2 linked regions of the Caenorhabditis elegans genome follow. The protein of the gene in region 1 purifies or fractionates together with the protein of each later gene. This does not show direct contact. Each region holds a gene or a part of one and is shown in the gene's direction. Other genes may lie near its edges.

Evidence for each region.
Region 2: the proteins of emc-2 (region 1) and ubc-20 fractionate together in Caenorhabditis elegans (co-fractionation; one large-scale study listed by BioGRID). This does not show direct contact.

Annotation. Positions count from the first base shown.
Region 1 is NC_003280.10:1,301,851-1,308,162, reverse strand, and holds emc-2 (ER membrane protein complex subunit 2), read left to right. Parts: upstream 1-2,026; 5' UTR 2,027-2,043; coding exon 2,044-2,080; intron 2,081-2,133; coding exon 2,134-2,267; intron 2,268-2,611; exon of another isoform or gene 2,612-2,662; intron 2,663-2,778; coding exon 2,779-2,967; intron 2,968-3,023; coding exon 3,024-3,107; intron 3,108-3,159; coding exon 3,160-3,318; intron 3,319-5,012; coding exon 5,013-5,108; intron 5,109-5,164; coding exon 5,165-5,269; intron 5,270-5,420; coding exon 5,421-5,501; 3' UTR 5,502-5,664; downstream 5,665-6,312. Other genes in the region: alh-6 (L-glutamate gamma-semialdehyde dehydrogenase), read left to right, coding at 148-606, 656-993, 1,562-1,778.
Region 2 is NC_003281.10:186,665-191,635, forward strand, and holds ubc-20 (UBC core domain-containing protein), read left to right. Parts: upstream 1-2,173; 5' UTR 2,174-2,176; coding exon 2,177-2,296; intron 2,297-2,348; coding exon 2,349-2,444; intron 2,445-2,511; coding exon 2,512-2,594; intron 2,595-2,650; coding exon 2,651-2,777; intron 2,778-3,737; coding exon 3,738-3,911; 3' UTR 3,912-4,283; downstream 4,284-4,971. Other genes in the region: mxl-2 (Max-like protein homolog 2), read right to left, coding at 358-531, 586-751, 1,130-1,215, 1,269-1,460; cox-17 (Cytochrome c oxidase copper chaperone), read left to right, coding at 4,333-4,425.

The DNA of each region.
Region 1 (6,312 bases):
GTTTCGATTTAGCAGACCCAAAATGCTGAGATTTCAGGCAATTTTTTTGGAATTTTTAACTTTTTTTTTTGAGAAATCTATGAAATTCGCGATTTTAATGCCATTTTCCCCTCGAAAAAAAAATCATTTTTATCCCAATTTTTTCAGGGTAACGTCTCCCTCTGGAAGCCATCGAACACCGCCGTGCTCTCCAATTATATAATCTACGAACTCCTCGAGGAAGCTGGTATGCCACCTGGAATTCTCTCATTCTTGCCATCAGATGGCCCCGTTTTCGGTGACGTCATCACCGCATCTCCACACTTGAGCGCTGTCAATTTCACTGGCTCCGTGCCAACTTTCAAGACGATTTGGAGAAAAGTCGCCGAGAATTTGGATAACTATGTGACTTTTCCGAAACTCATCGGAGAATGCGGCGGAAAAAACTTCCACTTTGTGCATCCATCCGCCCACGTGGACGCTGTCGCCGCTGGAACCGCCCGTTCCGCCTGGGAATATTCGGGACAAAAGTGCTCGGCGTGCTCCAGGATGTACGCGCCAAAATCGATTTGGCCAAAGATTCTCGAGAAAATCTCGGCGATTCACAAAGAGATCAAGCTTGGAGATGTAGGCCACTGTTTGGCTTGCCGATTTTTGTGTAGTTTGTAGTTTACAGGTTCGCGATGGATCCGTCTTTCTGTCGGCTGTGATCGATGATAAGGCGTTTGCCAGGCTCAAGGCCTACATTGACTTTGCGAAAACCGGAGCCGACGGAGCAAATGTGGTGCTCGGCGGAAAATGTGACGACAAAACGGGATACTTCATCGAGCCGACCCTGATCACTGTGACGGATCCGAAGAGCAAGCTTCTCACTGAGGAAATGTTCGGACCGGTGGTGACGGTACTGGTCTACGAGGATTCGAAGGTTGATGAGGTGCTCGCGACTGTGAAAGACGCGACACCTTATGGGCTGACTGGCGCCGTTTTTTCGCAGGATAAGGAGTTCCTTTATAGGTTGGCAACTACAAAAAATACAAGTTTTTGCACAGGTTTTCAGGGACTCAAAAATTTTATCTAAAAACCCAGCGGAAAGAAGAAAAACTCGAATTTTCGGGTTTGTTATGTTCAAAAATGCTGAAATTCAACATTTTAGGCACAAGAAAACTGCCAAAAGTCGATTTAAAATTATTCCCGGAAAATTCGAAATCTTGAAATTCTGTTTTTTCGGCAATTTTCAAGAAATTTCTCTATAACCGAACAAAATAGGTTAAAAAATGTCGAAAAACGATAATTACACAATTTCTCCAATAAAAACCCTCGAATTTCGTCACAAATCAAATGAAAAGCTAGAAAAACTGGCAAAAATCGAAAAAAAAAAGCGATAACAACAAACAAAAAATTTGAAAGCGACAGTAAGATGTTCCTGAGCGTGGCGAGACCCAACAGTGAAAGTGTGTGTCCCTTTAAAGGGCTACGGTATTTTTTATTGGAATTTTTGTTGGATTTCGATCGATTTTTCGAGATTTTTGAGGCGAATTTTTGTGTTAAAAACGTTTTTCAACAAAGTGTTTTTTTTTCTCAGAGCTCGCGATGTTCTCCGCGACGCCGTCGGCAACATGTACCTCAACGACAAATCAACTGGATCAATCGTCGGCCAGCAGCCATTCGGAGGCTCCAGATTGTCCGGAACCAATGATAAGGCCGGTGGCCCCCACTATGGGCTCCGATGGACCTCGCCGCTGACGATTAAGGAGACGTCGGTGTCATTGACTGACTGGAAATATCCATCAATGGAATAATTATGTTGTTTTTTTCTTTTCATTTCCGATTTTTCTCATATTGAGAATATAGTTTTCTTTTTGATTAGGTCAACAATTATTGCTTTACCACTGAATTTTAATTTTTTTTCCCCCGTGATCGCATAATAAATTTTGTTTTTTTTCCTTTTTTCCAGCTATAACCGTTTATTTTATAGTTTTCTCGCTATTTTTATACCTTCCAACCGAACTTTTCCATTAAAAAGTTGGAAAAAATCAATATTTTTCAGAAATTTCCCTCCCGAAAATGGTTGAAACCGAGTGGACGCAAGTCTCTTACGATGGTAACATTCTACAATATTCAAATTTTGAAAAAAAAATCGATAAATGCTTGCAGAAGGACGTCAAGCGCTGAAAAAGTGGCGAGAATGCGGAGTTCGACGAAGTGATGAGGTCGTCGAAATTTGGGAGCACGTTATTTCACGCTCACCGGCTTCTCTTGGAGACGAGCAATGGGCTGTGTTGGAGCAGGTGCTGAAATTTTGTCGAAAAACGCTGAAAATCCTGAAAATCTGGCTTTGAATAGAAAAAAACCATAGATTTTCTGGTTTTTTTGGTGAAAAGCATATTGGTCTGCTAGACTACAAACTACAGTATTATATTTAGCAGACCCACGCTTTTTTCTAAGTTATCACGTTTCTGGTTGATTAATAGTGAAAATAATACAAATTTCGGCGAAAAACTGGAAAAAATCAATAAAAACGGTCATTTTTTACTGAAAAAATGATTATTTTCGAGAAAAAATTCAATAATTTGGGTCTGCTAGACTACAAACTACAAATTCATATTTAGCAGACCCAAGTGGTTTCGATGAAATTTGGTCTGCTAGGCTACAAACTACAAATTCATATTTAGCAGACCAATGTAGTTTTGAGGAGATTTGGTCTGCTAGACTACAAACTACAAGCTTCGATTTAGCATACCCATACTCATTTTTCACGAGAAAATCGAATTTTCACCTAATTTTTCCAATTTTTTTCAGGTGTGCATCGCAGCACTCGACGCGGCTCGTGTCGATCTGGCTCAGGATTGCATTGACCAACTTCACGCACAATTTCCGAAGAGTAATCGAGTTTTGAAGCTGAAAGCGATGCAGTTGGAATCTACGGAACATTATCAGAAGGCGTTGGATATTTATGAGCGACTGGTTGAGGATGAGCCCAATAATAATGTAAAAAATTCAGGAAATTTTTTTTTTGCAAAATTTCTAATAATTTGAATTTTCAGAGCTTCCGCAAGCGAAAAGTCGCGGTTCTTCTCGCTCAGGGAAAGCGTCTCGACGCAATTCGAGCTATCAACGATTACCTGAAGGTTTTCATTTGATTTCTAGAAAAAAAAAACTCTAAAATTTATTAATTTTCAGATTTTCCTGAACGACCCAGAAGCTTGGCTTCAGCTCAGCGAGCTTTTCCTGCTCGAAAATGACGTGGCAAAGGCGGTACATTGCCTGGAGGAGTGTGTGCTCATTTCGCCGCTGAATTCCATGTATTTCAGACGATTAGCCGATTTGAGATATACTCAAGTATGTGTGTGGAAAATTGGAGAAATTTGGGCCTGCTGGGGGCTACAAACTACAATTCATATTTAGCAGACCCAAATACATTTTCAATGGAAATTGGTTTTTTCTCGTTTTTCTACTTTTTTTTTTGAAGAAAAAAAATCGAAAATTGTCAGTTTTCCGTCAAAAAAATGTCAGAAAAACAAATTTTCAACGAAAATATATTATTTTAATGCAAAAAATGAAGAAATTTTTAAAAAATATAGAGAAATTACCGAAAATGATTGAAAATTGATTTTTTTTAAGGAAAACTAAAAAAAATTGAACGGTCTGCTACAATGCAAACTACAAAGTACAATGTTCGATTTAGCAGACCCAAGTGATTTTGAAAAAATTGGTCTGCTGGACTACAAACTACAAGTTTCGATTTAGCAGACCCAAGTGATTTCAATTCGAAATTGGTCTGCTAGACTACAAACTACAATGTTCGATTTAGCAGACCCAAGTGATTTTGAAAAAAATTGGTCTGCTAGACTAAAAACTACAATGTTCGATTTAGCAGACCCAAGTGATTTTGAAAAAAATTGGTCTGCTAGACTACAAACTACAATGTTCGATTTAGCAGACCCAAGTGATTTTGAAAAACTTGGTCTGCTGGACTACAAACTACAAGTTTCGATTTAGCAGACCCAAGTGATTTTGAAAAAATTGGTCTGCTGGACTACAAACTACATATTCATATTTGGCAGACCCAAGTGATTTTGAAAAAAATTGGTCTGCTAGACTACAAACTACAATGTTCGATTTAGCAGACCCAAGTGATTTTGAAAAACTTGGTCTGCTGGACTACAAACTACAAATTTCGATTTAGCAGACCCATGTGATTTTGAAGAAATTCGGTCTGCTAGACTACAAACTACATATTCATATTTGGCAGACCCAAGTGATTTTGAAAAAAATTGGTCTGCTAGACTACAAACTACAATGTTCGATTTAGCAGACCCAAGTGATTTCAATTCGAAATTGGTCTGCTAGACTAAAAACTACAATGTTCGATTTAGCAGACCCAAGTGATTTTGAAAAAAATTGGTCTGCTAGACTACAAACTACAATGTTCGATTTAGCAGACCCAAGTGATTTCAATTCGAAATTGGTCTGCTAGACTAAAAACTACAATGTTCGATTTAGCAGACCCAAGTGATTTTGAAAAAAATTGGTCTGCTAGACTACAAACTACAATGTTCGATTTAGCAGACCCAAGTGATTTCAATTCGAAATTGGTCTGCTAGACTAAAAACTACAATGTTCGATTTAGCAGACCCAAGTGATTTTGAAAAAAATTGGTCTGCTAAACTACAAACTACAATGTTCGATTTAGCAGACCCAAGTGATTTCAATTCGAAATTGGTCTGCTAGACTAAAAACTACAATGTTCGATTTAGCAGACCCAAGTGATTTTGAAAAAAATTGGTCTGCTAGACTACAAACTACAATGTTCGATTTAGCAGACCCAAGTGATTTCAATTCGAAATTGGTCTGCTAGACTAAAAACTACAATGTTCGATTTAGCAGACCCAAGTGATTTTGAAAAACTTGGTCTGCTGGACTACAAACTACAAATTTCGATTTAGCAGACCCATGTGATTTTGAAAAAATTGGTCTGCTGGACTACAAACTACATATTCATATTTGGCAGACCCAAACTATATTTTTTGCAGGGAGGCGCCGAAAACGTGGAATTGGCTCGTTCCTACTACGAACGTGCGCTCAAAATCAACCCAACCGATTTGAGATCTCAATACGGAATTCTATTGGTAAGTGTAGTTTGTAGTTTGTAGTTTGTAGTTTGTAGTCTATATTAATGTTTCAGAGCAACAATTTGATCGCGGCGACCACCAAAAATGCGACGGAAAAGAAGAAAGCCGGAGCTGCAGCAGTTGATGCAATCGATAATTTGGTTAATCGTTATCAGAAGGTAGATTTTGATAAAATTAATAGTTTTTAATTGGAAAAAGCTCTAAAAACTCCAAAAAATGCCGAATTTCGGCTGTTTTTTCTTGAATTTTTTGAAAAAAAAATTCGAAAAAAATCGTGATTTTTCTAAAAATAACCTTAAAAAATTCCAGATAAGTCCAAAAAGCAATCCAGAATCGGACGGAATTCTCAATTGCCTCGAAGCCATGAAAGTCACTGTTGGAAGCAAATAAATTGTCAATTTCCTCCCAAAAAATGATATGCTTTACGTACATTCCCCCGAATATTCGATTATTTCCTATTTATTTTCTGTTAAAATTCAATTTTTTTAATGTCTATCGAAAGTATATTTATCGAAAAAAAGAACTCCTCAAGAATAAATAAATGTGATGATTTTTGCCACCGTTTTTGCTCCATTTTAGAGTCTTGGGTCTGCTAAATAGCTTTTTGTAGTTTGTAGTCTGGCAGACCAATTTTTGATAGCAATTTTTAGACTAAAAACTACTTTTTTCTTGAAAATCTTGAATTTTTGCGTTATTTCACATCTATTCCGGTTTTTCCGGCTCCTTTTTGGCGCTGAAATCGATAAGTTGGGTTACTGTAGCCTCAGAAGTACGCAAACACCATGCGACTCACGCAAAAATGCACAGAAACCTGAAAGATGCGCGAAAAAAGCCATACATGGGTAAAAATTTGTGTAGAATTCAATTTTTGTGTCAGAATCGTTTAAAAAATCAGTGAAAAATGATAATTTTCAGAAATGTTGAGCCAAAAAAAAATTATTGATTTTTGTGCATTATCAGTTTTAAATTTGGATTTTTATGTTTTTTCACCCATACGAGACTTTTTCGACTCCATTCGAGTTGTAATAAAAATTTCCGGGTTACTGTAGCCTCAAAAGTACGCAAACATGGAACACTTTACGCAAAAGTGCAGAGAATTCTAAAATTTGCGGAAAAAAGCTGCATAAGGGTAAAAATGTGTGTAGAATTCAATTTTTGATATCAGAATCGATAATAATCAGCGGAAAGTACACAATTTTCG
Region 2 (4,971 bases), on another chromosome or scaffold:
GCTGATCGTTTCATGGTTCCGTTCGTTACGAGTTCCGTAGAGAATCATCTTCTCAAATCCACGGAAATCGATCATGTAACAAAGATTTGGTTGGCTGACAAATTTCAATTGGAGAAACTCATGAACCACGCGATTTCAACCATTGAGACTACAGAGAAGGCCAGACAAGTTAGAACCTCTGACTTGTTCACAGAAATGTCCACTGAAGTTACTCAGAAGCTTCTGGATCGAGTTCTTCAATTAACTACCAAAAGTTAATTTTATGTTCCAAACTATTTTCTTTTTTGTTGTTAAATTTCATTTTTACGCGTTGAATAATACATTTGTTGATTAAAAATCTGGAAATTCTTCTCAATACTATGGCGAAGTGAAGGGCATTGTGACCATTTTTCCGGCTGTCGACTTGAATGGCTCCGCATTTGGCGCCAGGCTCTCCACCCACGACAGGAGCGTTCTGGTGATCGTTGCGTACGTGGTGAAGTCCACTTGGGAGGAGAACGAGGTGAAGCAGTCGTCGAGGAGAAGTTGGAGCTGAAAGTTGGAGAATTTCGACTTAAAAATCTGGAAATTTCAGTAAATTCTAACCATTTTGACTTGAATCGTGGACTGGCCGGCGTCAGGAACCGAAGAAGCCATCTGCTCGTACTCTGAGGCAATCATTTCCAGTGCGGCCGCTTGTGCGTTGAGCTGGGCCAGTTGCTTGTCGGCGTCGGAGATGTCGGTTTTCAGTTGGGACATGAAGTCGCAGGCTCTGGAAATTATTGAATTTTCGGGGAAATTTGCAGAATTTTGAAGGTTTTTAAGCAAAAAATGGGCTTAGCAGACTGGAATTGTGATTTTTCCCGCTGAAAAACACGAAATTCTTGAAAAAAATCGTGCTTTTTAATGTAAAAAACTTGAAATTGTCATCAAAATTCGATAATTTCGCAATTTGGGTATGCTAAATCCACGTTGGTCTGCTAATTATTTAGCAGACCCAACTATGGTCTGCTAATTATTTAGCAGACCCAAGTATGGTCTGCTAATTATTTAGCAGACCCAACTATGGTCTGCTAAATATTTAGCAGACCCAAATTTTTATGTTTTCCAGTTATTTTTCCTTCAATTTTTCAGTATTTTCAGCCAGTACCTGAATAAAATCGCGGCGTTTGTAGTTTTACATCCCAGCGAAGTCGTTGTCTGAGGAATTAAATCCTTTAAATCACTGTATCCGCTCTGAAAAGTTGAAATTTTAGCTTTTTTCCACGAATTTCCAAGCTTCAACAAACATTTATAGCTTCTCTTCGCTGCCGTTCACACCTCAAGTGCGTCGCCTTCTTTCTATCCGAGCTAAATCCGCCGGAATTCGTCGCTGGCGTGTTTGGGGCCGATGGGGAGCTCGCCGAGCCGTCCGGCGACATTAGGTCCATATCGTCCGGCTTTTGAGAGGAGCTGGCAGCTGCGGAACGGCTTCGAGACATTTTTGGGCTGAAAAACAGAGAATTTCAGTAGAGTAATTGGGAAAAAAACGAAGAAAAACGCGGATTTTTGAAATTTGGGTCTGCTGATTAATTAGCAGACCTAATTGTTCCCTGGCAAGATTTTTTTTGAAGATTTCAATCAATTCTAGATATTTTCTGAACGGGTTTCTCAATAAACAAATGGAAATTCCCTCTAAACCTTGAGAAAATTAGAAGTATTTCGGCAAAAACGTTCAATTTTCTTTTTTGAGAAAAATCATGATGCAAAAACTAAAATTCCTATAAAAACTTAATCAATCTGTGAATCGATACTTCCGATCACGGGTTTGATCGTTTGAACCCGTTTTTTCTCGGCGACAACGATGCTCCGACTTAACGCACGGTTTTCTCCGGTTTTTCCGGGTTTTTGTTCAATTTTACTGTGATTTAAGCAATTTTTCGCATAAAAATTGGTTTTTCAACATTTTTCTACATGATTTTTGATTTTTATTCACGAAAAACGATGAAAAATCGATGAAATTCGGGGAAAAACAAAAATTTCAGTTGCAAACGATGCTCCGAAATTCCGCGGCGCGCCCTGTTTATCATGAGTTGGTGTTTGAATAATTTTGATGATAATTTCAGACTTTCTCGAAGCTTTTTCGATAATTCCTTGAACTTCATGATTTTCGTCGATTTTTCAGAGTTTTTCCACTATTTTCCATCGTTTTCAGACCATGTCGAACATAGCATTCAACAGACTCCAACGAGAATGCAAAGAGGTCGTCACAAACTCGGAAATCAGCGAAACCGGAATTATGATCGAGATATTGAACGAGAATCTCACCGAAATCAAGGTAAAACGCCGCGAATTGTGTGTCGGAAATCTCAATTTTTATCGGTTTTCAGGGACACATCCGCGGTCCACCAGACACTCCATACGCCGGTGGAATGTTCGATTTGGATATTAAGATTCCAGACCAATATCCATTCTCGCCACCAAATGTACGAGTTTTTCTGCCTGGAAAGCTTGAAAATTGTCGAAATTTGTGTAAAAATCGCGGTTTTTCAGGTCAAGTTCAGCACAAAAATCTGGCACCCGAATGTCAGCTCGCAGACCGGCGTCATTTGCCTCGATATTCTTAAGGATCAATGGTAATATTGCGATTATTATTTTAAAATCGGAAAATTTAATTTATTTTCAACTTCAGGGCCGCTTCGCTGACTCTTCGCACGGTTCTCCTGTCGATTCAGGCGTTGATGTGCACACCGGAGCCCAAGGATCCTCAAGATGCCGTCGTCGCCAAGCAATACATGGAGAAGCCAGCAGTTTTCAAGGTAGCAGCGTGGAAAATTCAGAAAATTCGCGGAAAAATGGGGAAAATATTGCGAAATCCGATTAAAAAATCAATATGGGTCTGCTAAGTAATTAAGTAATTAGCAGACCCAAATCTTCCCTTATTTTGTGTGTTTTTTTGCGTATTTTGCCCCAAAAATTATCTATAATTTCCCATTTTTCAGGCCAACTCGAGTTTTGAAGCGTCAAAATTGAGAAAATTCGATGGGAAACGTGCAAAATTCGTTAATTCCCGAATTTTGGAGACAATTCTGACTGTTTTACACTGAAATGCACGATTTTCTCGGAAAATTATTGATTTTTGCCCTGAAATTTCAGAATTTGGCCGATTTTCTTTAGAATTTGGGTCTGCCAACTAATTAGCAGGCTTGTAGAAACGCCACGTGGTTTTCGATGGTCTGCTAAATATTTAGCAGACCCAAGTATGGTCTGCTAAATAATTAGCAGACCCAAGTATGGTCTGCTAAATAATTAGCAGACCCAAGTATGGTCTGCTAAATATTTAGCAGACCCTAATCCCGTATTTATCCTTTAAATTTAGTTTTTTTCGCGGAATTTACTGGTTTTTTCTTGTTTTTCAACCAGGAAATCGTTCAAATTCATCACTTTTTGTCCCAGAAGCCGAGAAAAATCAGTTTTTCAGCTCATATCGAAATTTGTTTTTCAAAAAGAAATTATAAAAAAGTTTAGCAGACCCAAAACTCAACAAATTTGGCGAAGTTGTTTTTAGTCTAAAAACTCGAATTTCCCCGAAAATTCGTTGTTTCCAGTGAGTGTAAAAACTCGAGAAATCTCAAAAAAAAAATTGGTTTTCATTCGAATTTTCTCAATTTCCACGCTTGAAAACTTTAGGTAGCCTAGAAAATAGACAAACATAGACAACATAAACTGAATAATAGCCTAATATGCTCTTAATATACTAAATTTCCACCATTTTTCAGGCCACCGCCGAGTACTGGACGACAAAATTCGCAAAGGGAGCCGTGAAAAACGCCGGATACCAGGCTCTCGTCGACAAGCTCAAGGATATGGGAGTCCGTGAGGAAGAGGCTGTCAGCGTGCTCAGCTGCAACAATTGGGACATCAATCGCTCGACGGTCTACATTTTCTCTTAAATTCTTTTTTATTCGATTTTTTTGAATTTTTTCTGTGAGCCTCTTGTCTTGAAGTTTGTGTCCTAAAAATCCCTTATTTCTTCCATTTTTTTCCGAGAAATTTTCGTCCCCAACCCCCCGCACCACTGGTATTTCTTTTTACCAATTCGTACCATCCTCACCCCAAAAAAACCGATCAGAATAGTAGATTTTCCGCCTGATTTGTGTGTGTTTTGCCTATTTATTATCGATATTATTCATTGAAATTTCCCCCCTTTGACCCCCATTTTTTTTGCAACGATACTCTTTCCATGAATTATATTGACGGAGTTGTAGCTGCAATTTTTATCCGATTTTCTGAAAATTTTTGGCGAATGTCGTTTTTAATATCTTTAAAACTCCATTTTTATCTGTAAAATCTATAATTTTAGCACCCAAAAAAATGCCAGCAGAGCCACAAAAATCCACAGAAGCCGGCAGCGTGGCACCGGAGAAGAAGCTGAAAGCGTGCTGCGCGTGTCCTGAAACGAAACGAGTGAGGTTTTGATGGAAAATGGAAAAATGGCGAAAAATTCCAATTTTGCGGTTGAAAATCGCTAAATTTTACATTTCGACTATCCAAAACTGATTTTTCCGAGTTTTTGCATCAAAAATCGAGAATTTCTGGGAAAAAACTCAATTTTGAACATAAATTCGAAAAAAAATGGGTCTGCTAAATATTTAGCAGACCCATTTTTGGTCTGCTAAATATTTAGCATACCCAACTTTGGTCTGCTAATTATTTAGCAGACCCAAGTATGGTCTGCTAAATATTTAGCAGACCCCAGTATGGTCTGCTAAATATTTAGCAGACCCCAGTATGGTCTGCTAAATATTTAGCATACCCAATTTTGGTCTGCTAAACATTTTGCAGACCCAATTTCGAAAAATCTTAATTTTTTCCTCAAAAACGGAATTTTCTTGGTTTTTACAGCAAAAATCGAGAATTTCCGCGATTTTCTGACTAGAAAACCTGAAAAATTCGTGAAATTCGTTGAAAAAACTCAATTTGGAACAGAAATTCGAAAAAAAATGGGTCTGC